5 linked regions of the Macaca mulatta genome follow. The protein of the gene in region 5 purifies or fractionates together with the protein of the main gene of each other region. This does not show direct contact. Links are inferred from orthologs where the notes say so. Each region holds a gene or a part of one and is shown on either strand. Other genes may lie near its edges.

Region 1 (4,743 bases), on a different chromosome or scaffold from region 5:
GGCTCAAGCCTGTAATCCCAGCACTTTGGGAGGCCGAGGCGGGAGGATCACAAGGTCAGGAGATCGAGACCACAGTGAAACCCCGTCTCTACTAAAAATACAAAAAATTAGCCGGGCGCGGTGGCGGGCGCCTGTAGTCCCAGCTACTCAGGAGGCTGAGGCAGGAGAATGGCGGGAACCCGGGAGGCGGAGCTTGCAGTGAGCCGAGATCGCGCCACTGCACTCCAGCCTGGGCAACAGCGTGAGACTCCGTCTCAAAAAAAGACAGCAGCATTAGGCATGGAATTCTCTGAAAATGTCTTAAGACCAACAATCAGGAAGGTGGGGAAGATTAGAGTCTTGCCCTGGGGCAGGAAATGGAGGGAAGGAGGAGGTCAGAGAGATTGTTTCTTGAGACCTGCCCCAGGCCTAAGGTACACAACATTATAACAAGAGAACACAAACAAAGGCTATAGGAGTTAGCAGCCAGGAACTGTGGATAAAAACCAACATATTTATATATATAATACCACAGGGAGGGTCCAAAGTGGCAGTTAGGGACAGCGAGTACTTGTGAGCAGTGACACACCAACCCATCTGAAAGTATTTTAATATTTAAACAATTGGTATGGCTGTACTAGTTTGTGACTATCAGCCTTAGTTCTGTATCCATTGGCAAGATAGTGTCTAGGTTTGCCAAGCTCTAGCTGTGTAGCACCAAGCGAAGAACTTAACTTCTCCAGCCTGTTTCCTTCTCTGTAAGAAAGGGGCTTCCAGGCCTTAACTCACGTACTCCCCATAACTAGGTTGGAATTACCTCCTTTGTACAGATGAGAAAACAGACACACAGGTGGTAAGTGAATAGCCCAAGGTCACCATCTGGTAAGTGGATGAACTAGGATTGGAAGCCACACCTTTCATAAAATGATTTCTCAGCTCAAAAGGTTTTTCTGAAGATTCAGTAGGCTCACTGATAGAAATTGCTGGTGTGTGGCGGGTATTCCATCCAGACCACGTGGCCATTACTACTCCCACCCCCACCCCTCTGTAAACTCCAGATATTCCCGACCTCTCACCTCTCCCTGTGCACACAAGGCCTTTTCCCGTCTGTGCGTCTTAGTACACCCACTGTTGCTGTCAAGAAAGTCCTCCTCCTCCTTCTTTTTTTTTTTGGAGATGGAGTCTCACTTTTTTGCCCAGGCTGGAGTACAGTAGCACGATCTCACTGCAACCTCCCCCCTGCCTCAGCCTCCCTAGTAGCTAGGATTACAGGCAGCCATCACCACGCCCTGCTTTTTTTTTTTTTTTTTTTTTTTTTGAGGTGGACTCTCACTCTGTCGCCCGGGCTGGAAGGCGGTGGCGCAAGCTCCGCCTCCTGGCTTCAGGCCATTCTGCTGCCTCAGCCTTCCGAGTAGCTGCGGCGGCTATTTTTTGTATTTTTAGTATAGACGGGGTTTCACCGTGTTAGCCAGGATGGTCTCAATCTCCTGACCTCATGATCCGCCCGCCTCGGCCTCCTAAAGTACTGGGATTACAGGCGTGAGCCACCGTGCCCAGCCTACTTATTTATATTTTTTAAGAGACAGGGTCTCGCTCAGTTGCCCAGGCTGGACTGCAGTAGGGTGGTCTGTAGGAAAGGGGCTTCCAGGTCTTAACTCATGTAATTCCCATAACCAGGTTGGAAGGTTAGCTCACTGTAACCTCAAACTCCTATGCTCATGGTACCCTACTCACCCATAGCAGAGGAGCTGGGACTACACGTGTGCGCCACCACGCCAGGCTTAATTTTTACTTTTTTTTTGTAGAGACGGGGGTCTCGCTATGTTGCCCAGGCTGGTCTTGAACTCCTGGTCTCAAGTGATCCTCCTGCCTCAGCCTCCCAAAGCGTTAGTATCACAGGCATAAGCCACTGCAACTGGCCTAAACAGTTATTTAATATAGCTATGTTCCATGTGATATTTGAAACATACTTTTCTAAAAGGTTGTATCTTTTGGATATAATTGTTTATCTGAAATTCAAATTTAACTAGACATTGTATATTTTATATGGCAACCATACACCTGGGGCAATCAAGACCGTCCCATGAAGTTACCAGAAGACAATGCCCATCAGCCTACACTTTTCCAAGCCCACATAACACAAGGCCCCTTCCTGAGTATTCCAGACGTCAGGTAGGGCCATCCCTTGGTTCACAAGCCCACTCCTACCACGCCTATGGCAGCCAAACTGAAAGGCAAACACAGTGCTGGAGACCCCACAATGCCCTGGGTCTGTAGCAGCCAATTCCCAAGATGCCCCGCGTGAACACAATAGGAACCCGTTCCAATGCTCGAGCAATGAGACGAGGGCAAAACCTTCCACTACGGGACAATAAGGGCCAGTTCCCACAATTCCTTGTGGCAGTTTTTCCCAGGATGCCTTGGGCCTATAGCGACCACCTTCCCGGACTCCCTGTGTGGAAGCGCTCCAAGCCTCCAAGACGGTCAGTGGCAGGTGTGGGATAAAAGGAACCGGTCTCGACGAGGATCTGGGACACTCTTTCCCAGGATGCACCAGGCCTACAACGACTAGCGGACCGACTCCCACAGCGCTTCAAGGCGGAGCGCTCGGTTCTCCCAGGATGCCCCAGGGCGGCACAGCCGCGTAGGGGGAGAAAAGGAAGCCCTCGGGTCACCATGGCCCCAGACCGCCGGCTCCCCGGCGACGGGAGTCGTCGTTCCCATCATGCAGCGGGGCCGTAGCGCCCGCTTCCCGGCATGCCCCGCGCACCCCTGCCCGGGACACTCACCGGCGCCGGCGGCCCCCGCTCCGGCTCTGCGGCGGCAGCTGCACGCCCAGCCTCTGCGCCTGCGTCGCAAGCAGGGTAGGAGAGCGCGCAGGGGGCGTGAAGAGCCTAGGGCGCTTGCGCGGTGAGACGGACTAGTCCTGTAGCTCTGTGTGAAGAGGGGCTATGAGCGTCGGGCCGTCGACGAGACCCGCGCGGGGGGCGCCGTGCTTTGCCCCTCGCTGCCTGGGTTTACTTGGTACAGTCCGCGGCCCGAAGGAACAACAAGCTGAAGGGTTCGCGCGTGCGTGTGGGGGGCAGGAACGCTACTTATAAAAATGAGATGCGCTGGGGGTGGAGGGCGCTAGTTCGGACTGGATCCTGGGCCCGAGGCCTGCTTATTTGCATAATCCTAGCGCGGGACAATGAAAGGCCTCCAGAACTGGAAGGAGTGATTTGCATATTCCCCGAGGAGGCCTTACTCCTGAGCGCAGTGATTAGCATATGGCGGGGCAACCTGAGCAAAGCGCATGCGCGCAGGGACTGCAGACTAACGCGAAGTGGGTAACCTTGCTTTCGTTGGGGATCAGTTTGCATCCTGAGAGGGGCACGAGGGTCAGGACCCCTCCCAGCCAGGATAAATGTTTATTGATCTCCTAGGTGTCAGACCCTATGCTGGCAGATTCTATGGTTTCTGCAGTGAACCATACTCCTGTACTCACGGCGCCCCAGTCGAGGAGATACACACCTAATTAGACAACTACTACCCAGAAGGTCAGACCTGGAGTGAGGAACACAGGGGACTATGGGAGCCTAAGAGGCGCCTGCCCCGGCCTATGGTTCTAGAAAGGCTTCCAGGAGGTGGTGATCCTTAAGCCAAGTACGAATAGGAGCCAGCTAGAATGGGAATGGATCTGGCAGAGTGAACAAGCGCCAAGGCCCAGAGGCCAAAAAAAAAAAAAAGCACATGGTTTGATTGAGGAAGCAAGAGCAGCATAGTATGCCTAGAACCGAACTGGAGAGGGGAAATGGTCTTATAGACCATGTTAGAGTTGATCTATGACTACATTCCAGTCTTCCTGGAAGTGTCACATTCCGGCTTAAACTCCCCAAAGGAATCCCATTAGGAAAAAAAGTCCAAAAATCTTTATCATGGCCTCAGGGCTATACAGCTGGTCTGGCCGTGCTTATCTTTCTGACCCCACCTACTTCCTCCTCCCTCCACTCCTGTCCAGCTCCACCTTATGCCAAACTCTCTTTGCCATCTCGGGCCTTTGCTCTTGCCGTTCCCTCCGCCTGAAAATGCTTTTCCCTCTGACCTTTGAATACCTGCTCTTGTGCTCACCATTCATATCTTGGTACAGATGTCAATTTGAGAGGCTTTTCCTGATCTCTCCATAATAGCGCTTACACATATGACTGGAGTTACGGATAAATTGGGATTGGCCATGAGTCCGTGGTGGTTGTAACTGGCATGAAGAGTACATGGGGCTGGGCGCGGTGGCTCATGCCCGTAATCCCAACACTTTGGGAGGCCGAGGCGGGTGGATCACCTGAGGTCAGGAGCTTGAGACCAGTCTGGGCAACATGGTGAAACCTGCCTCTATTAAAAGTACAAAAATTAGCCAGAGGTGATGGGGGGTTGCCTGTAATCCCTGCTACTTGGGAGGCTGAGGCATGAGGATCACTTGAACCCTGGAGGCAGAGTCGAGATTGAGCCACTGCACTCCAGCCTGGGCCACCCAGCGAGACTCATCTCAAAAAAAAAAAAAAAAGTCTGGGCGTGGTGGCTCACGCCTGTAATCCCAGCACTTCGGGAGGCTGGGGCGGGCGGGTCACGAGGTCAGGAGATTGAGACCATCCTGGCTAACAAGGTGAAAACCCATCTCTATTAAACATACAAAAAAAAAAAAAAATTAGTCGGGTATGGTGGTGGCAGGCGCCTGTCGTCCCAGCTATTTGGGAGGCTGAGGCAGGAGAATGGCGTGAACGCGGGAGG
Region 2 (4,914 bases), on a different chromosome or scaffold from region 5:
ACTCCTTATACGAAAATTAATTCAAGATGGATTAGAGACTTAAATGTTAGACCTAAAACCATTAAAACCCGACAAGAAAACCTAGGTAATACCATTCAGGACATAGGCATGGGCAAGGACTTCATGTCTAAAATGCCAAACGCAACGGCAACAAAAGCCAAAATTGACAAATGGGATCTAATTAAACTAAAGAGCTTCTGCACAGCAAAAGAAACTACCATAACAGTGAACAGGCAACCTACAGAATGGGAGAAAATTTTTGCAATCTACTCATCTGACAAAGGGCTAATATCCAGAACCTACAAAGAACTCAAACAAATTTACAAGAAAAAAACAAACAACCCCATCAAAAAGTGGGCAAAGGACATGAAAAGACACTTCTCAAAAGAAGACATTCATACAGCCAACAGACACATGAAAAAATGCTCCTCACTCGCCATCAGAGAAATGCAAATCCAAACCACAATGAGGTACCATCTCACACCAGTTAGAATGGCAATCATTAAAAAGTCAGGAAACAACAGGTGCTGGAGAGGATGTGGAGAAATAGGAACACTTTTACACTGTTGATGGGACTGTAAACTAGTTCAACCACTGGAAAACAGTGTGGCAATTCCTCAAGGATCTAGAACTAGAAATACCATTTGACATAGCCATCCCATTACTGGGTATATGCCCAAAGGATTATAAATCATGCTGCTATAAAGACACATGCACACGTATGTTTACTGCAGCACTATTCACAATAGCAAAGACTTGGAATCAACCCAAATGTCCGTCAGTGACAGACTGGATTAAGAAAATGTGGCACACATACACCATGGAATACTATGCAGCCATAAAAAAGGATGAGTTCGTGTCCTTTGTAGGGACATGGATGCTGGAAACCATCACTCTCAGCAAACTATCGCAAGAACAGAAAACCAAACACCGCATGTTCTCACTCATAGGTGGGAATTGAACAATGAGATCACTTGGACACAGGAAGGGGAACATCACACACCGGGGCCTATTGTGGGGGGGGAGGAGGGGAGAAGGGGGAGGGATAGCATTAGGAGATATACCTAATGTAAATGACGAGTTAATGGGTGCAGCACACCAACATGGCACATGTATATATATGTAACAAACCTGCACGTTGTGCACACGTACCCTAGAACTTAAAATATAAAAAAAAAACAAAACACATTCACACAGTACAAGATACGGAGTGTCAGTCTGCAGGGGTAGCCAGTGTACTCATGTGTCCTGGAAGAAATGTCCTAGGCATATATTGATTAACACACATGCTTTACACAAATGGGATATTAAACATATTATCTGGCAACTTACTCTCATTTAGAATTCATCTCTTTAAGACATTTTTACATATGGAGTAAGCACTGACTTTCCTTGTACTTATCTTTGCATGTAAGGTTATTTCTGCAGGGAAAATTCCTAGAAATGGATTACTTAGCCATTTGTGTTTAAAATTGATACATTTTACCAAACTCTCGAAAACTTACATTACTGCAAAACAACAGTGTATATATGAAAGACAATTTCATATAAATTCCTAATCCTTGCTACAACCTAGGTGAAAGCCAGTATTTCACTACTGTGTTAATGTGCTTCTCTTAATGAGAAAGACTGAACACTTTTCCCTTATTGATGGTAATGATATTTACTGCATCTTAAAGAATGGTACAGATTAGAAACTCTGGCTCTCCCTTTATTAATTACAAAACCATTAATTTAAAAAAATGTAGGCCGGGCGCGGTGGCTCAAGCCTGTAATCCCAGCACTTTGGGAGGCCGAGGCGGGGGGATCACGAGGTCAGGAGATCGAGACTATCCTGGCTAACATGGTGAAACCCCGTCTCTACTAAAAATACAAAAAACTAGCCGGGCGTGGTGGCGGGCGCCTGTAGTCTCAGCTACTTGGGAGGCTGAGGCGGGAGAATGGCGTGAACCCGGGAGGCGGAGCTTGCAGTGAGCCGAGATCACGCCACTGCACTCCAGCCTGGGAGACACAGCGAGACTCCGTCTCAAAAAAAAAAAAAAAAATGTATAGGCCGGGCGCAGTGACTCACGCCTGTAATCTCAGCACTTGGGAGGCCGGGTGGGTGGATTACAAGGTCAGGAGATCAAGACCATCGTGGCCAACATGGTGTTTAGTGTCCTTTGTAGGGACATGGATGCTGGAAACCATCACTCTCAGCAAACTATCGCAAGAACAGAAAACCAAACACCGCATGTTCTCACTCATAGGTGGGACACACCATCGTGGCCAACATGTATTTAGTCTCTACTAAAAATACAAAAATTAGCCAGGCATGGTGGTGTGTGCCTGTAGTCCCAGCTACTTGGGAGGCTGAGGCAGGAGAATCGCTTGAACCAGGGAGTTGGAGGTTGCAGTGAACTGAGATTGTGCCACTGCACTCCCGCCTGGTGACAGAGCGAGACTGCGTCTCAAAAAAAAAAAAAAAGTATAATATTTCTAACTTTGATAACTTGTTTTTAAAGATGTTCTCAACGACAATACTGTTTCCTAACACTTTTATCCATGGTATATCATTTGCCTTTTTTATTTTTTGGTCTAAAGCTAAAAAGGTAACAGGTATTTGAGGAAATAAATACTTTTCTTTGGAAACTATTTACTCTTTCTGCGTTGCCAGCAGTTATTCTGTATTTTAGAATATTGTTTTTAGGACTAGGACTGTAACAAAAGAAAAATAAATAATTCAGTACTGAAGAAAAATCTCTAAAAATGATCTTTAACTTACAAACGTAATTGAATACATGCAGAAATAATGGGTTAACCATCCGTCTCAGAGCCCATTGTTAAATAAAACTAGAAGACTTTAAGGGAAACCGGAGAATAAGTCTCAATAATCCCATGCAGCTATAACTGGCAATAATGAACAGCCAAGCTAACATTAAAGAGCACTATATTACATACTGTAATTACAACAGAGACTAAGAGCTCAGGTGTGCTGGGTTTGAGTCAGACTCACCTACCATTCCCCATCCCTCCCAGCCAGCCCTCCTCTTCCCGCTGCCTACCATCAGCTCTTCAGGCCAATCTCATACTTAAACCTAAAAAGAATGCTACAGAATTCACTTCTCATATCCCAAATTATGTATATCTAGCGCACATCACACGTTATATCCATAAGGGCGTGTATACTTTTAGAGATTTCCTTCAAGAACTCCAAGTATTTTTTTTTTAATTTTCTCCTCATAAAATATTCTCCTAAGCATGCTTTCCCTACTAGACTTACCTGCTGTATTACTAGACACCTTAAAATTGGTCTTCAAAAGGCAGGCATTCTACATGGCTTTTTGACTAAACCAGAGCAAACAGCCTATAGTATAAGAAGAACAACAAGACGAGAAGTTGAACCTGGAAAAAAAAAAAAAGTGATCAAAACTGTATCTGTGATCATGTGTGTCCCCTGTGATAGAATTCTGTGTATTTCGCTCACCATCCTGCCCTAACAGTGAGAGGAGTCCAATCCACTAAGCCTGAACACTTACTTTTTTTTTTTTTGAGACAGAGTCTCGCTCCGTCCAGCCCAGGCTGGAGTGCAGTGGCATGATCTCGGCTCACTGCAAGCTCCGCCTCCCGGGTTCACGCCATTCTCCTGCCTCAGCCTCCCGAGCAGATGGGACTGTGCCCGCCACCACACCCAGCAAATTTTTTTGTATCTTTATTAGAGACGAGGTTTCACCGTGTTAGCCAGGATGGTCTCAATCTCCTGACCTCGTGATCCACCCGCCTCGGCCTCCCAAAGCGCTGGGATTACAGGCGTGAGCCACTGTACAGGCCTGAACACTTACTTTTATGAAATGACACCAAAGACTACAGTAGATACCACTCCTGACACCATCTTTGTCTACTTTCTCTTTAGTAATCCACTATGGAATTATGCCCATGTGTGTAATCATATCCTTCTCAAACCAACCACCTAACTTCACTTCTCTGATAAGCACTCAGAAGACTGCTGGTGTGACTACTGATGCTAACAATGGCTGACTTTTGTCAGTTATCAATATTACACAGCAGAGTGACAAATTAACAGGCAGTGGAGGAAGGGACACCACAACAAACAGGACCAAGAGGTACAAAAAGAAAGGACTCTGGGAGGAGGATGGCGGTGTCCTGACCCCAAGGAAGAACACATGGACCTCCTTCAGTGATTGCTCTGCCCTCTTCTCTTCCCGCATGCATTTCAAAGATAAAGCATCATGGTGTAGATGAGTCTGCTGACAAGAACAGAATGTGATAAACTGGCTGTGCACAAGCTACACAACAGCGCACACTGTGCTTCTCATTAGCTCCAGCACATTCATCTACCCCTTCTCTATCCCCTACCCCGTCACTGCTTTAATTCTGACATCTTAACTTCCTGCCACTAGTCTCCCTTTCTTCCAGCTACCAAACCTGTCTTCCAAACAGAAGCCTAATGTGACCTGCCTGTTCACATTTCCTCCAAGGCAACTAAGACACCTACACTACACGATTTGAATACAGCATATAAAGCTCTTCACAGTCTGGCCCATGACCAGACTGCGTTCTCAAAATACTGGCCCACATGTAATTCCCTGACTATTCCAGCATCTGGGTTTTTGTATAAACTATTTCCTCTCCTTTACACTCCCTGTCTTGCCTGGCCTTCAGGCAGGACGGCTTTTTAAGTCAGCTGTCTCCCTGTAAACACGGGATTGGTTCCAGGACCACTCCCATATGCCAAAATCCACACATACTCAGGTCCTACAGTCAGCCTTGTGGAATTCCCATATATGAAAAATCTGCCCTCCATATAAATGTTTCACATTCTGTAAATGCTGTCTTTTTTTATTGGCATTTGGTTGAAGTTCAAACCTCTGTTATTCATGCGTCAACTGCACTGGCCAATTTTCCACTCCCTCC
Region 3 (4,738 bases), on a different chromosome or scaffold from region 5:
TGAAATCTGTTTCAATGTGTGTACAGGATTACTGTAAAATACATTTCTTACTGAAGTCAAAAAAGTTTTGAAACGTGGATCCAAAAGAATCCCAGTAAAGAATCCCAGTAAAGAGGCTAGCTAGAATCAAGTGAAAAAGACGGATGTGAGGCAAAGTCTACCTTCTTCAAAAACATATTTGCCGTTATTTTAGGAAGCCAAACAAGGACAAGATGCAATCAATCATATGTGTAAGTTTAAGTTGCAAAAAGTGGTAAATATTTCTTTTTTCCTGAGACAAGGTCTCACTCTGTCACCCAGGCTGGGGTGCAGTGGCACGATCTTGGCTCACTACAACCTCTGCCTCCAGGTTGAAGCGATTCTCCCATCTCAGGTTCCTGAGTAGCTGGGATTACAGGTGCCCACCAATATGCCTGGCTAATTTTTGCAGGGGTTTTTGTTTTTTGTTTTGAGACGGAGTCTCGCTCTGTCACCCAGGCTGGAGTGCAGTGGTGCAATTTCTGCTCACTGCAACCTCCGCTTCCCGGGTTCAAGCAATTCTCTCTGCCTCCCGAGTAGCTGGAATTAGAGGTACCTGCCACCACGCCCACTTAATTTTTTTGTATTTTCAGTAGAGACCGGGTTTCACGATGTTGGCCAGGCTGGTCTTGAACTCCTGACCTCAAGTGATCCACCCACCTCGGCCGCCCAAAGGGCTGGGATTACAGACATGAGCCACTGCGCCCGGCCCAATTTTTGTGTTTTTAGTAGAGACGGGTTTCACCATGTTGGCCAGGCTGGTCTCAAACTCCTGGCCTCAAGTGACCCGCCCACCTCAGCCTCCCAAAGTGCTGGGATTACAGACGTAAGCCACTGGCACCAGATCAAGTGGTAAAAATTTTAATAAAAATTTCCTTTTATCAAATGGAACAATGATCAATTCTGTATCTAAGGAGATAAACATCAGGATTTAGCGATCCATTTACCAAAGGCCACTCCCTAAACACTTCAACCATCTTCTCTCACTTTTACCTATTTTCCAATTGGTAAAATAATGGATTTTGAAAAAATAATAAACTCTAGCATTTTATTTTTATTTTTTAGCAATGGGATCTTGTTGTGCTGCCCAGACGAGTGCAGTGGCTATTCACAGGCATAATCATTTCACACTGCAGCCTTGACCACCTGAGCTCAAGCCTCCTGCCTCAGCTTCCATAGTAGCTGGGACTACAGGAACACGAAACTGTGCCCTGCATACTCCAGAATTTTGGGAGAATGATTTTCAACCGAGGGAGATTTTATCCCCGATCCCTACCTCTCCGGACATTTGGCAATGTCTGTTAACAATCTGATTGTCACAAATGGGGATGTGGCGAGAGGTGCGATGTTACTGGCATACAGTGGGTAGAAGCCAGGGATTTTGCTAAATATTTTACTATGCACAGGACACCCCGAATACCCTTAACAAAGAATTATTATCTGCCTCAAAATATCAACAGTGCTAATGCTGAGAAATCTTGCTGCAGGTTAAGACTGTATTCCTTTCAAACCTAAATAAATCCAGGACAGATACCCTTAACCAGTATCACTTTAGTTCTCAGAAGCTCAGCAACCCCATTACTAGCATACCTACAAATAGGTTTAAAACCAGGGATAAACTATATATAAATACTTTATCCTTTTGCTAGTGCCAGAGAACATGGAAATTTTTCCTCTGTTCATAAACTGCTATTAAAATCGTTTGTCTTTGGTATAAAGTCGGAAAGGTCTCTAGTCATAAGTGTACTTCATAGGTAGTTGATTTTCAGTATTTAAGTATTTTCCCTTGATCCTGAATTATTGAACAAAGCAGTAAGACTCTGATACAGCCAATGTTATCAAAATTTATTTATTTCTCCAAAAGATCCTGGAATAAGCAGAGGGGGCATTACCAAAAGGAGATAGACTGCATGTAAAACACACTTCGAAGGAAATCTAATTAAAAGGCAAGGAATAATCCAGGTGATGGATGAGTCTTCTGTCCCCAGAACCCTAAATATTACCCTCTTTAAGCGTTTCTTTTTTAATCCAAAGTCAGATATCCTCAAATGAACATCAAAATGAGGGGTTTTAGGATATCTTTAATGGTGTAAAGAAAGGAAATGTATGAGAGGGAAAGTTCCCGGGAGAAAGAGACTAAAATAAAAGCACTGGGCACATGGATTATATAAATCAGAAAAAGGGTGGTAAGTATGTGATTATGATTAGAAACACAAAACAATTGACTTCATTTTTTATTTAATTTTAATCACAAATCATTAATCTTGCAAAGTTTTAAACATTAAAGAACCAGCCTGCCTCGATCCTACTGTGTCCCTAGGACTGACACACTTTGGTGTGTAGCTTTGGAAAACTTTTCTATGGACCTACAAACATATTGTTCGTGGAAATATGCACTATCAGGATATAGAGATTTCTCCTATTCGTTCTAACATTTTAACAGTCTTCCTAAAGAAGCGACTTCTGAAAGTATTATAAAAAAACAAACAAAAACCTCCTCTGTTCCCCAAACCTCAAGTGGTGAGGAGGCGGGGGAAACATGGTCAAGTCGAGGAATACACGAGGAAACTTAGGCTTCAGGGAGGTGTATGGGACTGAGGCCTAAAGGCTCCGTTAGAACATTAGAAAAGTCATTGTGGATAAAACATTCATCCTCACACGCCATTACAGGCACCGACTCCCCTTCCTCACAACCCCAAATCGAAGACCTCTCTCTTTTGGAGAGCCGATTGGACGACTGGTCCCAGTGCTTTCCTTAGGCTGTCCGTCTACTGGCTCCAGATTCGTTCCATCCGTTTAACCGCCCGATCCCGCATTCCCCATTGGAGTCAAACCGCTGCCTCCTGGAGAAGCCCAACCTACCGCGCGCTTCCTGCTCACTGGCTCAGTGAGACGCTGCTCAGAAGGGGAAAACCCATCTCCCACATTCCGATGGCCCAAGGGCCGATCAGTCGGCAGCTCAAGGCACACCCAATTGGCCTATACACAAGCCAGTCAAAGTCTTCGGCTGCACAGCTCCCAAGAACCTACAGGGATTAAAACATCCCGCCCCCTGTTCTTCTATTGGTTGACCCGATCCACCGCTGCCCCTTGACTATCCCCCACCCCGCGGTCCATTCATTTCACACAATAACGGGCCCAAATGGAGTCAGTTCAAGACCTACTATGGGTAGATAAGACTGTCTGCCACTTACCCGGGATTGAGAGTGATCACTCACGCTAACGTCTGCCCTGTTCCTGTTTGGTGAGGCCGCACCACTAGCCACCACCGCCGCCGCCTTCTGCGCAACGCCAACCGCCCGCCAAAACGGATCCTTCCCTGCGCCTGCGCAACCAATCCTGGGACCGGACCTTTTTTCTCCGCCCACTGCGCATGCGCAAAGCTAGAACCAACTCCCGCCAACACGCAGGCGCCGTAGGTTCACTGCCTAGTCCTGCCCGCCATTTCACGTGTTCCCAGAGGCAGGTGGAACTTCTTAATGCGCCTGCGCAAAATTCGCCATTTTGCTACACGTGCGGTCAACAAGCGTTCTTTGCAAAAAAACTGTGACCTCCTGGCTGCTTGTCTAATACATAGTGTTAATCATGCTTTGCCAAGCGACTTGACTGTAATATTTACGCGTGGAAGATGAAAAAGGCGTTAAACACCCCAGGTAGATTCAAACATGAATGATTGGTCGGTTGGCCAATCAGACTGGTTAACAGTAATATTACTCGAGAACCAATTGACTCCAAGGGGTGGAGACGCGTAGAACGCCCAAAGGAATGACGTTACACAGCAATGTGGCACCACAGGCCAATAGCAAGGGGAAGCGATTTCAAATGTCCAATCAGAGCTGTTCTAGGGCGGAGTCTACCAATGCCGAAAGCGAGGAGGCGGGGTAAAAAAGAGAGGCCGAAGGTAGGCTGGCAGATACGTTCGTCAGCTTGCTCCTTTCTGCCCGTGGACGCCGCCGAAGAAGCATCGTTAAAGTCTCTCTTCTCCCTGCCGTCATGTCTAAGTCAGAGGTGAGTTAGGCGAGCTTTCCAACTTGAATGTTTTTCGTCTCCCTTTTCTGAATCGGTAAGATGCGGCTTGGTTTCGTTCCTTGCACCAGCCGATTCTACAGTTAACTTCGGTCGCTGCCAAGGCCTACCCCTCCCAAAGTTCAAGTCGCCATTTTGTCCTCTTGATCGCCATGAGGCCGCTCTCCGCCAACCACGAGTTATCACGCGGGACTCGCTACTCGTAGCAAAATTCTTAGGCACACAGGATCTTTGTCTTTTTTTAAACCTTGCCTTGGTGAGCGAGATTTCTGAAGAGCGGTTAGTCCCATTATGGAGATGCACCCCTCCCGCCCAAGCCTTTGTTGCGCGTGCGTCGGAAGACGACTAGAGACGCATGCGCTTGCGATTTCCCAGCACTCCCAACCCCCAGCATACTGCCTCCCTTGGTGGGGAGAAGCACGTGGCCTGTTGCGACCTGAACAAACAATAAGTGCTAGGTACACAGTTGGTGTCTAGTTTTTCTTTTCCTTGATGGAAATTGTTTCGTGTTGTAGTCCATTTAACACTTCCCCCTTCCCCCACTCCAGTCTCCTAAAGAGCCCGAACAGCTGAGGAAGCTCTTCATTGGAGGGTTGAGCTTTGAAACAACCGATGAGAGCCTGAGGAGCCATTTTGAGCAATGGGGAACGCTCACGGACTGTGTGGTAAGAATTGGGACAAAGCAGTAAAATAG
Region 4 (4,295 bases), on a different chromosome or scaffold from region 5:
CTACCTGTAACTCATGAGTCCAGGTTGGCAGTCAGGCCGAGGGTCACTATCGAAGGACTATGCCATCTTAATTTCACACTTGGGTGATTGGAATTTCGAAGGTCCAGCTCTTTTCCTCTGGCATGAAACCAATGGGAGAAGAAAAAAAACAACCACACAAAGCCACTGGCCGACTCACCATTTCATCAGGAACATGAGCTCTCCACTGGAGTCTGTAGCTCCAATAATCCGCTCCGGCTCCAAACCTCGAGCAAAGCCTCGTGGCTTTTCTGACTGTAAAAACAAGATTGGTAGAACAATTTTATCTATATGGGACTATTATCTAGACTTGGAACTATTCCTGTGTCTCTGATTAATGTAATCATAAACTCTTCTCTTTTTTTTTTTGAGACGGAATCTCTGTTGCCCAGGATGGAGTGCAGTGGTGCGATCTCAGCTCACTGCAGCCTCTGCCTCCTGGGTTCAAGTAATTCTCCTGCCTCAGCCTCCTGAGGAGCTGGGACCACAGGCGCATGCCACCACACCTGGCTAATTTTTTGTATTTTTAGTAGAGACGGGGATTCACCATTTAGTCAGGATGGTCTTAATCTCCTGACCTTGTGATTCGCCCGCCTCAGCCTCCCAAGGGGCTGGGATTATAGGTGTGAGCCACTGTGCCCGGCCCAAACACAAACTTTTTTGCCAATATTTCACCAATACCTTGGCTCAAAGTAAGAGAGCTGTTAGAATTCTTTGGAGTGATTATTCATCAATGTCTGAAGCGCATGAGATTTTCCCATATGTGAAAAGGGACATACAGCCCAAGCAAAATCAATGTTTACACCTATCTCTTCACTCTCAAAAAACAACTTACTTTAAGGTACGTACTGATTAAGTCAAAATAGCTACCTCACACCTTTAATGATTAAACATTGAAAACCGTTTTTTACAAGAATGAATTCACTTGCCCTTTTATCTGTCCCCAGCAAGTATCCCATTTACTGCTCCTGTACCATGGATAAAAAGTAAGAGACTGGCTGGGCGCAGTGGCTCAAGCCTGTAATCCCAGCACTTTGGGAGGCCGAGACGGGCGGATCATGAGGTCAGGAGATCGAGACCATCCTGGCGAACACGGTGAAACCCCGTCTCTACTAAAAAGTACAAAAAAACTAGCTGGGCGAGGTGGCGGGCGCCTGTAGTCCCAGCTACTCGGGAGGCTGAGGCAGGAGAATGGCGTAAACCCAGGAGGTGGAGCTTGCAGTGAGCTGAGATCCGGCCACTGCACTCCAGCCTGGGCGACAGAGCGAGACTCCGTCTCAAACAAACAAACAAACAAAAAAGTAAGAGATCATGTGGCTTCATGAGAGTACACTCTCACTTTGTAGGCATTAGCCTACCTAAGATGTCAGAACTAAGAAGAGATGGCTGCTAATATCTGGGAAGAAGCAAAACAAAACTACTTTGACAGTGGTTTGAATTGTGGGCCAGTAAAAATTCTTACTTCTATCCTTACCTCTTCTTTCTTCTTCTTTGGTTTGCTCTCCTCTCCCTTATCTTCAGAATCAGAATCAGCTTTGCGCTTGCCTCCCTCTGATTTATCTGTCTCATGTGCTGTTTTCTGTGACTGCAGAAACTCAGCAATGAGGTCGGGGCAATCCAGGTTTTCTTCTGGCTCCCATGTGTTGTCCTCACTGAAACCAGAGGGCACAGCAAGTCACACTTTCACTCAAAATAAGTATAATCATACTAAGGATAATCGTAAGAGGACAAGAGCTCAGACGTCCATGGAAAAGCTGAAATTTCTTGGGGAATGGGGAGGCTTTCTAGTATAAATAGAAAGCTAAGAAACTGGCTTCCTTCAAAGGCAAATGACTTTTATTTGTCAATTTAAATCGGTCTATAGCCACACACAATATTTCTCAGAAATCACTATGGGCTGGGTACAGTGGCTCACGCCTGTAGTCCCAACACTTTGGGAGGCCCAGGTGGGAGGACTGCTTGAGGCCAGGAGTTAGACAAACCTGGGCAACTAAGTGAGACATGGTGGTGCATGCCTGTGGTACTAGCTACTTAGAAGGCTGAGGTGGGAGGATACCTTGAGCCTGGGAGGTTGAGGCTGCAGCGAGCTATGACTGCACCACTGTACTCCAGCCTGGGTGACAGAGCGAGACCTTGTCTCAAAAGAAAGAACTTTAAAAAAGAAGTCATTCTGCTCTGTATAACAAGCAGTAGGCCATGTTCCTAATTAAACAATAAGCCATGAAGGTGGGGACTGAGTCACACAGTTTCCATCACAGCACTGGAGGTCTCATACATCTCTAGACTCCTGATAAACACCTGGTGGCTACATTTACTTGTGTCAGTGAAACTTACTCTGAGAACCCCTTCCATTTTAGGAGGTACTCCACTTTGCCCTTTACCACTCGACGGTCGAGAACTTTTTCCACCACATATTCCTCTTCCTCCTCTTCTAGCACCTCCTCCACTTTCTTCTTGTTTTGTTTTTTCCCCATAGTGCCCGCCAGCTTTCTGGTGTAAAGGGTGACGCTGCTAAAATGATAAATGAAATAAAAAGGGAATTAGGGAGCACTCTTATTGGTTAGATAATATCTGGATGGTAAGAAAACCAGAGACATGACAGGTGATAATATTATATGCTGCTTACAATAAGTGTGAGGCCTATTCTCACATTCGATACACAATAGTTTTCTGATATGTGCAGTCAGAAAGCTCATAAAACAGCCCCAATTAATCTTACAGCGAAACTTCTTTTTGAGAGACGGAGTCTTGCTTTGTTGCACAGGCTGGAGTGCAGTGGCACAATCTCGGCTCACCGCAACCTCTGCCTTCTGGGTTCAAGTGATTCTCCTGCCTCAGCTTCCCAAGCAGCTGGAACTGCAGGCATGTGCCACCAAGCCCAGCTAATTTTTGTATTTGTTTTTTTTTAGTAGAGACGGGACTTCACTACATGTTGGCCAGGCTGGTCTCGAACTCCTGACCTCAGGTGATCCGCCTGCTTCGGCCTCCCAAAGTGTTGGAATTACAGGTGTGAGCCACTGCGCCTGGCCTTCACAGCAAACTTCTTTATTCTTGTGTATCCATTTACAACTTTTATACCCATTCTTTGTCATTTAAAAAGGCTCCCAATACTCCTTTTACCATAAAGCATGGTAGCTAGGGCCACGCATGCAGGCTCACATCTGCAATCCCAGCATTTTGGAAGGCCGAAGTGGGAGAATTCCTGGAGCCCAGGAGTGTGTGACCAGCCTAGGCAACATAGCAAGACCCCATCTCCACACACACAAAAAATCTGTAAAAGAGCATGGTAGCTAAAATATTGCATTAAACTCAAAGAAGGCCGGGCGCAGCGGCTCACACCTGTAATTCTAGCACTTTGGGAGGCGGAGGCGGGCAGATGGCCTGAGGTCAGGGGTTCAAGACCAGCCTGGCCAACATGGCAAGACCCTGTCCCTACTAAAAATACAAAAATTAGCCAGTCATGAGCCAGGATCGCATGACTGTACTCCAGCCTGGGCAACAGAGTGAGACTCCTGACCTCGTGATTCGCCTGCCCTGGCCTTCCAAAGTGCTGGGATTAGAGGCGTGAATGACCCTGCCCGGCCCTTTTTTTTTTTTTTTTTTCTTTTAAGACGGAGTCTCACGCCAGCCCAGGCTGGAGTGCAATGGCACAATCTCGGCTCACTGCAACCTCCGCCTCCTGGGTTCAAGTGATTCTCCTGCCTCAGCCTCATGAGTAGCTGGGACTACAGGTGTGAGCCACCATGCCCAGCTAATTTTTGTATTTTTAGTAAAGACAGGGTTTCACCACGTTGGTCAGGCTGCCAGGCTGGTCTTGAACTCCTGACTTCGTGATTCGCCCATGGTGGCCTTCCAAAGTGCTGGGATTACAGGCATGAGCCACCAAGCCCCGCCCCACCCCACCCCCCTTTTTTTGAGACGGAGTCTCACTCCAGCCAGGCTGGAGTGCAGTGGCACAGTCTTGGCTCACTGCAACCTCCGCCACCCGGGTTCAAGTGATTCTTCTGCCTCAGCCTTCTGAGTAGCTGGGACTACAGGTGTGTGCCACCATGCCCAGCTAGTTTTTGTATTTTTAGTAGAGACAGGGTTTTGCCATGTTGGCCAGGCTGGTCTCAAACTCCTGACTTCAAGTGATCCACCCGTCACAGAATCCCAAAGTGCTGGGATTACAGGCATGAGCCACTGTGCCCAGCTGAGTTCTCTTGTTCTTTATGCACTCTTTTCTGAATTGAACTTACAATTCACAAATTTCTTGTTAACTTACTGTATTTAGTTTA
Region 5 (4,295 bases):
TGAACTGTAGGAATTCTCTATATATTCTGGATGTTAACCCCTTATTAGATACATAATTCGCAAATATTTTCTCCCATTCTGTGGCTTCCCTTTTCACTGCGTTGATAATGTCCTTTGATGCACAAAAGTTTTAAATTTTGATATAATTTAATTTACCCATTTTTTTCTTTTCTTGCCTATGCTTTTGGTGTCATATCCAAGAAATAGTAATCATTGTCAAATCCAGTATCATGAAGCTTTTTGTCCTATGAGTTTTCTAAGAGTCTTATAGTTTTAGTTCATTTAGGTCTTTGATCCATTTTGAGTTAATTTTTGTATTAAGAGTAAGGTAAGGTTCAACTTCATTTTTTTGGACACGGATATCTAGTTTTCCCAACAACTTTTTTTTAAAGGTTTTTACCTTTTTTTGAGACAGGGTCTCATTCTGTTGCAGTGGCATGATCACGGCTCACTGCAGGCTCAACCTTCTGGGTTCAAGCCATCCTCTCACCTCAGACTCCTGAGTAGCGAGGACTGCAGACATACACCACCACACCTGGCTAATTTTTCTCTTTTTTTTGTAGAGAAGGGATCTCACCATGTTGCCCAGGCTGGTCTCAAACTCCTAGGCTCAAGTGATCCTCCCGCCTTGGCCTCCCATAATGCTGGGATTAGATGTGAGCCACTGCATCTTGCGGCTTTTATTTTTAAAAGGTTGAAATAAAAGAATAAAATTTTTCGACACATGAAAATTTTATGAAACTTAAATTTCAGTCCATAAATAGTTTTTAGTGGAGCACAGCCATGCTCATTCGTTTATGTACCTGTGGCTGCTTCCACAACACAACAGCACAGCTAACAGCTGCAACAGAGGCTACATATCGTGCACAAAGCCTCCAAATTTACTACTAGACCCTTTACAGAAAACATTTGCCGACCCCTGCTCTAGACCATCGAAAACCCTCATGCTCATATTCTCAACCTGAAGATCTCTCTACCAAATCCCAACTTCAAAACCTTGTTTAGAAATCCATCTCTTCCATGAAGTTATCTTTCATTATCTCACCAATCTCTTGATCAATTTCATTAATCCCCAAAGCACAATTACACATAGAATTTCTTAGAGCTGATTCGTTACACTTTTTATAAGTGACTTTCTCCTTACTAAAGTTTCTGTAAGAACAAACTACAGCAGCTATATTTTATTTTATTTCTGTATTTCTGAGTATAGAGCTCTGATACAACGAACACTTTATTAATGTTTTTGAATGACTGGCTGCTCAGGGTCTTTCAGGTTATTGTACCTTTCATTGATGACTCAGGTCCGCTGGTTCTTTGAGAGCCATGAGCAGAGCTGTTGTTGGACACCACCACTGGCCCAGCACTCTGGCCCAGGGAAGGGATTGTGTTAAGGGTATTCACCAATTTGGCCACTTCATTGCTATTTTCACCTGTAACGCCAGGTCGCTTCACAGTGACAAAGCTGGCAATGCTCACTGCAGGTGGAGAGGGGAAGGAGGGAGCTACGGTGACCAAGTGATAATCATCTGTTCTCCACCCACCATCCCATCCTAGCTCTGCCATCTCCTCTTCCCAAGCCTTACCTAGCTTGGGATTCGTGGTCTGGTTTGACTGGCCAGGAGACTGAACAGCTAGTTGCCCCAGTGAGGTTGGCTGTGTGGCAGTGGGAGTGGTGGAAGTGCTGGGAGTGGACTTGGTCTGCTGGGACTGGGACTGTGGGACGGTGCTTCGAATGGTAAGAGTGGCCGGGATGACGGTGGTGAAGGTGTTGGTGGTGGGCCTCACAGGCATTGTGGAGCCTGGCCTCACAGGGGTCATCTGGGAGAACACTTGTGGAACTCCAACTGTCGGCTTAACAAACTGGGTACCTGGGGCTTTAAAAGAGAGATAAAGTACCAGATCTTGGTCAGTGAGCTCACCTATAAAACATTCTCCCTGCCTTTACTGGAAAGATTATTTCCCCAAACTGATGGATGATCATCAGAAGTTTCCAAGAGTAGTATAGATTCTAAAGACTAAGAAAGCACAAGGTGTCTATATTGACAAAATAAATTAGCCTGGGTAGCCTAAAAACATTTAGTTAAGACTCCCATCAACTCCTCCTGAAACACCTTACCACACTGCCTTTTTATTAATTCTAAGAATACAATTAGTAGCTCGACCTCGGTACTGGCAATATGGGTGTGTATAGGCCAAATGGCAAACCTGGTCCTGAAAAAAGAAATCAGTCTTTCTCAGAGTACTAAAGGAGTCTTCCGTCCTTTCCTATCAACTCAGAAGACAGACTATGTCATTCTACTAGGATGTCCCAAAGGAGAATGTCTACTGGCTCAACTGTAGACGATTCCACTGAAAAAAATAAAGAAATACCAGGGTAAGCTGGTCAAACTGAGGGCTAAAAACCCCTGTGGGCTATGAGAACAAAAAATAAAACCTTAGGGAGACAAGCTACAGAGGTACCCTTACAAATAGCTAAATTAAGATATTCTTTTTTGGTCTGAATTGTAGTAAACTTATACATGCTAAATAGAGCAATGGAAAATTCTAAGATTTTAAAAAATTATCCTTCTCAGAATCTTAAAAAACAAAAAAACTATCTAGCAGAATCTTAAAAAAAAACACAAAAAAACTATCTAGTCATTGACAGTATTTATCCATAAAGGGAATGGTCATTTGTTTATATCTAAAATCCATGCTATAAAATTAAAACAAAGTTTATAATCCCACCGTGCAAATGAGGAGATGTGTAAGGAATGAATTTGTGAGTTTGCATTAATAACATTTCTCCAGGATAACAAACTTAATAGCTGACTAAATACCAGTTACAGAAAAATGACTATAAACTCTGTTTTACTACTTCATGAAGGGTGGTGAAAAGCTAAACAGAAATAAATAAAACCACCACCCTGGCCAAACAGATTTTTAAAAATTGGGCTTAAATCATTAAGATTTTTATATTTTCTTTAAATATACTTACTAAATGACTTAGGATATGTAGAACAACAAAAACAAATCTTCTGGATGCCGGTTTACTCCAAATGGATAGACATTTTTCCTTACCTGGAACTAGTGTAATTGGTCTAACCGTTTGGCCTTGCTGTACGTTCAGCACAATCCCAACCTGATTCATTGCATTTTGTACAGGCCGGACATTCCTTACAGGAAATCCCTGTATTAAAAAGCAAAATGATCTTTAACATGGAGACCAACTAATACTAACAAACATTGCAGTATGACCTATATCCAAAAAAATTCCCATACTCTTACTTAATGGTTCTCTCTCTAGAATTATAGCTTTTAAACGACTGAGATGGAAAAGTTTAGGAAATTCTGGCAAACTTTTGAGTAACAAAATATCAAAACTAGAGAACAAGCTTTGGTACACATGAGCAAAAATGAAAACCTATTCCCTGACTTAAGAGAGCATCGGTTTAAAAAACCTCATCAACACATTGGCTCCCTGAAGTGCTAAATGAAGAGAAGCGGGGGTGGGGGAGCGGGGGGAAGAGCAATGTTCACTGGAGTGATTCAACATACCAACAATCCTAAGAAATTGTTCCCAAAGTCTACTTCAAAGGCCACAAACCTTTGGCAAATTCATAAGAATTTACAACTCAGGAAGCCACAGGCAGAGAAGCATTTGCCTTTAGAATCAGGCTTTCAGAATTAGGCTTTCAACTTCAATTCAACACATTATATATCAAATAAGTCATCTTCCTTGTCTCCCAAAGGTCTCCATGAACTCCACCAATTACATATATACATCTCCAAAAGTTAACTAACTCATCCCATGGGAAGAGGAGCAGTCCAAGCAAAGGGTGAAAAGCCGCAAGAGCCAAGCATTAAGGCTTCCTAATCCAAGCTTTCCCACTAATTTCTCTCTAGATTTTAATCAAATCACTTAATAAACTTCTAAGGGGTTTAAAGAAGATATTACCCAGCCATGCTATCTAAGCTGGGCTTTCCACAGTCAACATCAAATTGCAGAACAGTAAATGAGAAAGCCAGGTCAAGAGACAAGACTTAAACACTTCTAATGATGCCAAAGACCCTAAGTCAGAGCTTTCAGAGGTTCATAGTCTTTCTCTCCTCTAGCAACCTTGGAATTCAGAGTCCTACTCACCTGTGTAGTGATAAATATTGGTTGTGAGGCCACAGGGGAACTAGTCACATGATTGGCATTCTGCATGACCTGAACAGGCCTCAATACCGGTTGAGTAACCATTGTGCCCAGACCTGGGGCTGGATTCTGGGTCAGGATGAGTGGCTGTCCACCTTGCTGGACCAAAGGATTG

Evidence for each region.
Region 1: the proteins of POGZ (region 5) and ZNF428 purify together in Homo sapiens (affinity purification with mass spectrometry; 3 studies listed by BioGRID and IntAct, counting the BioPlex papers as one, with this or other methods). This does not show direct contact. The link is inferred for Macaca mulatta from reciprocal best matches to the Homo sapiens genes POGZ and ZNF428.
Region 2: the proteins of POGZ (region 5) and CHAMP1 purify together in Homo sapiens (affinity purification with mass spectrometry; 4 studies listed by BioGRID and IntAct, with this or other methods). This does not show direct contact. The link is inferred for Macaca mulatta from reciprocal best matches to the Homo sapiens genes POGZ and CHAMP1.
Region 3: the proteins of POGZ (region 5) and CBX5 purify together in Homo sapiens (affinity purification with mass spectrometry; 5 studies listed by BioGRID and IntAct, with this or other methods). This does not show direct contact. The link is inferred for Macaca mulatta from reciprocal best matches to the Homo sapiens genes POGZ and CBX5.
Region 4: the proteins of POGZ (region 5) and CBX1 purify together in Homo sapiens (affinity purification with mass spectrometry; 7 studies listed by BioGRID and IntAct, with this or other methods). This does not show direct contact. The link is inferred for Macaca mulatta from reciprocal best matches to the Homo sapiens genes POGZ and CBX1.

The regions. Positions count from the first base shown.
Region 1 is NC_133424.1:56,034,124-56,038,866, forward strand, and holds the start of ZNF428 (zinc finger protein 428), read right to left. Parts: upstream 2,951-4,743; 5' UTR 2,769-2,950; intron 1-2,768.
Region 2 is NC_133422.1:108,395,065-108,399,978, reverse strand, and holds the start of CHAMP1 (chromosome alignment-maintaining phosphoprotein 1), read right to left. Parts: upstream 3,362-4,914; 5' UTR 3,263-3,361; intron 1-3,262. UniProt on the Homo sapiens protein: Required for proper alignment of chromosomes at metaphase and their accurate segregation during mitosis. Involved in the maintenance of spindle microtubules attachment to the kinetochore during sister chromatid biorientation.
Region 3 is NC_133416.1:61,467,122-61,471,859, forward strand, and holds the start of CBX5 (chromobox protein homolog 5), read right to left. Parts: upstream 3,339-4,738; 5' UTR 3,213-3,338; intron 1-3,212. UniProt on the Homo sapiens protein: Component of heterochromatin that recognizes and binds histone H3 tails methylated at 'Lys-9' (H3K9me), leading to epigenetic repression. In contrast, it is excluded from chromatin when 'Tyr-41' of histone H3 is phosphorylated (H3Y41ph).
Region 4 is NC_133421.1:61,945,117-61,949,411, reverse strand, and holds part of CBX1 (chromobox protein homolog 1), read right to left. Parts: intron 2,530-4,295; coding exon 2,353-2,529; intron 1,671-2,352; coding exon 1,493-1,670; intron 274-1,492; coding exon 179-273; exon of another isoform or gene 5-178; intron 1-4. UniProt on the Homo sapiens protein: Component of heterochromatin. Recognizes and binds histone H3 tails methylated at 'Lys-9', leading to epigenetic repression. Interaction with lamin B receptor (LBR) can contribute to the association of the heterochromatin with the inner nuclear membrane.
Region 5 is NC_133406.1:115,652,274-115,656,568, reverse strand, and holds part of POGZ (pogo transposable element with ZNF domain), read right to left. Parts: coding exon 4,124-4,295; intron 3,170-4,123; coding exon 3,061-3,169; intron 1,875-3,060; coding exon 1,584-1,874; intron 1,503-1,583; coding exon 1,284-1,502; intron 1-1,283. UniProt on the Homo sapiens protein: Plays a role in mitotic cell cycle progression and is involved in kinetochore assembly and mitotic sister chromatid cohesion.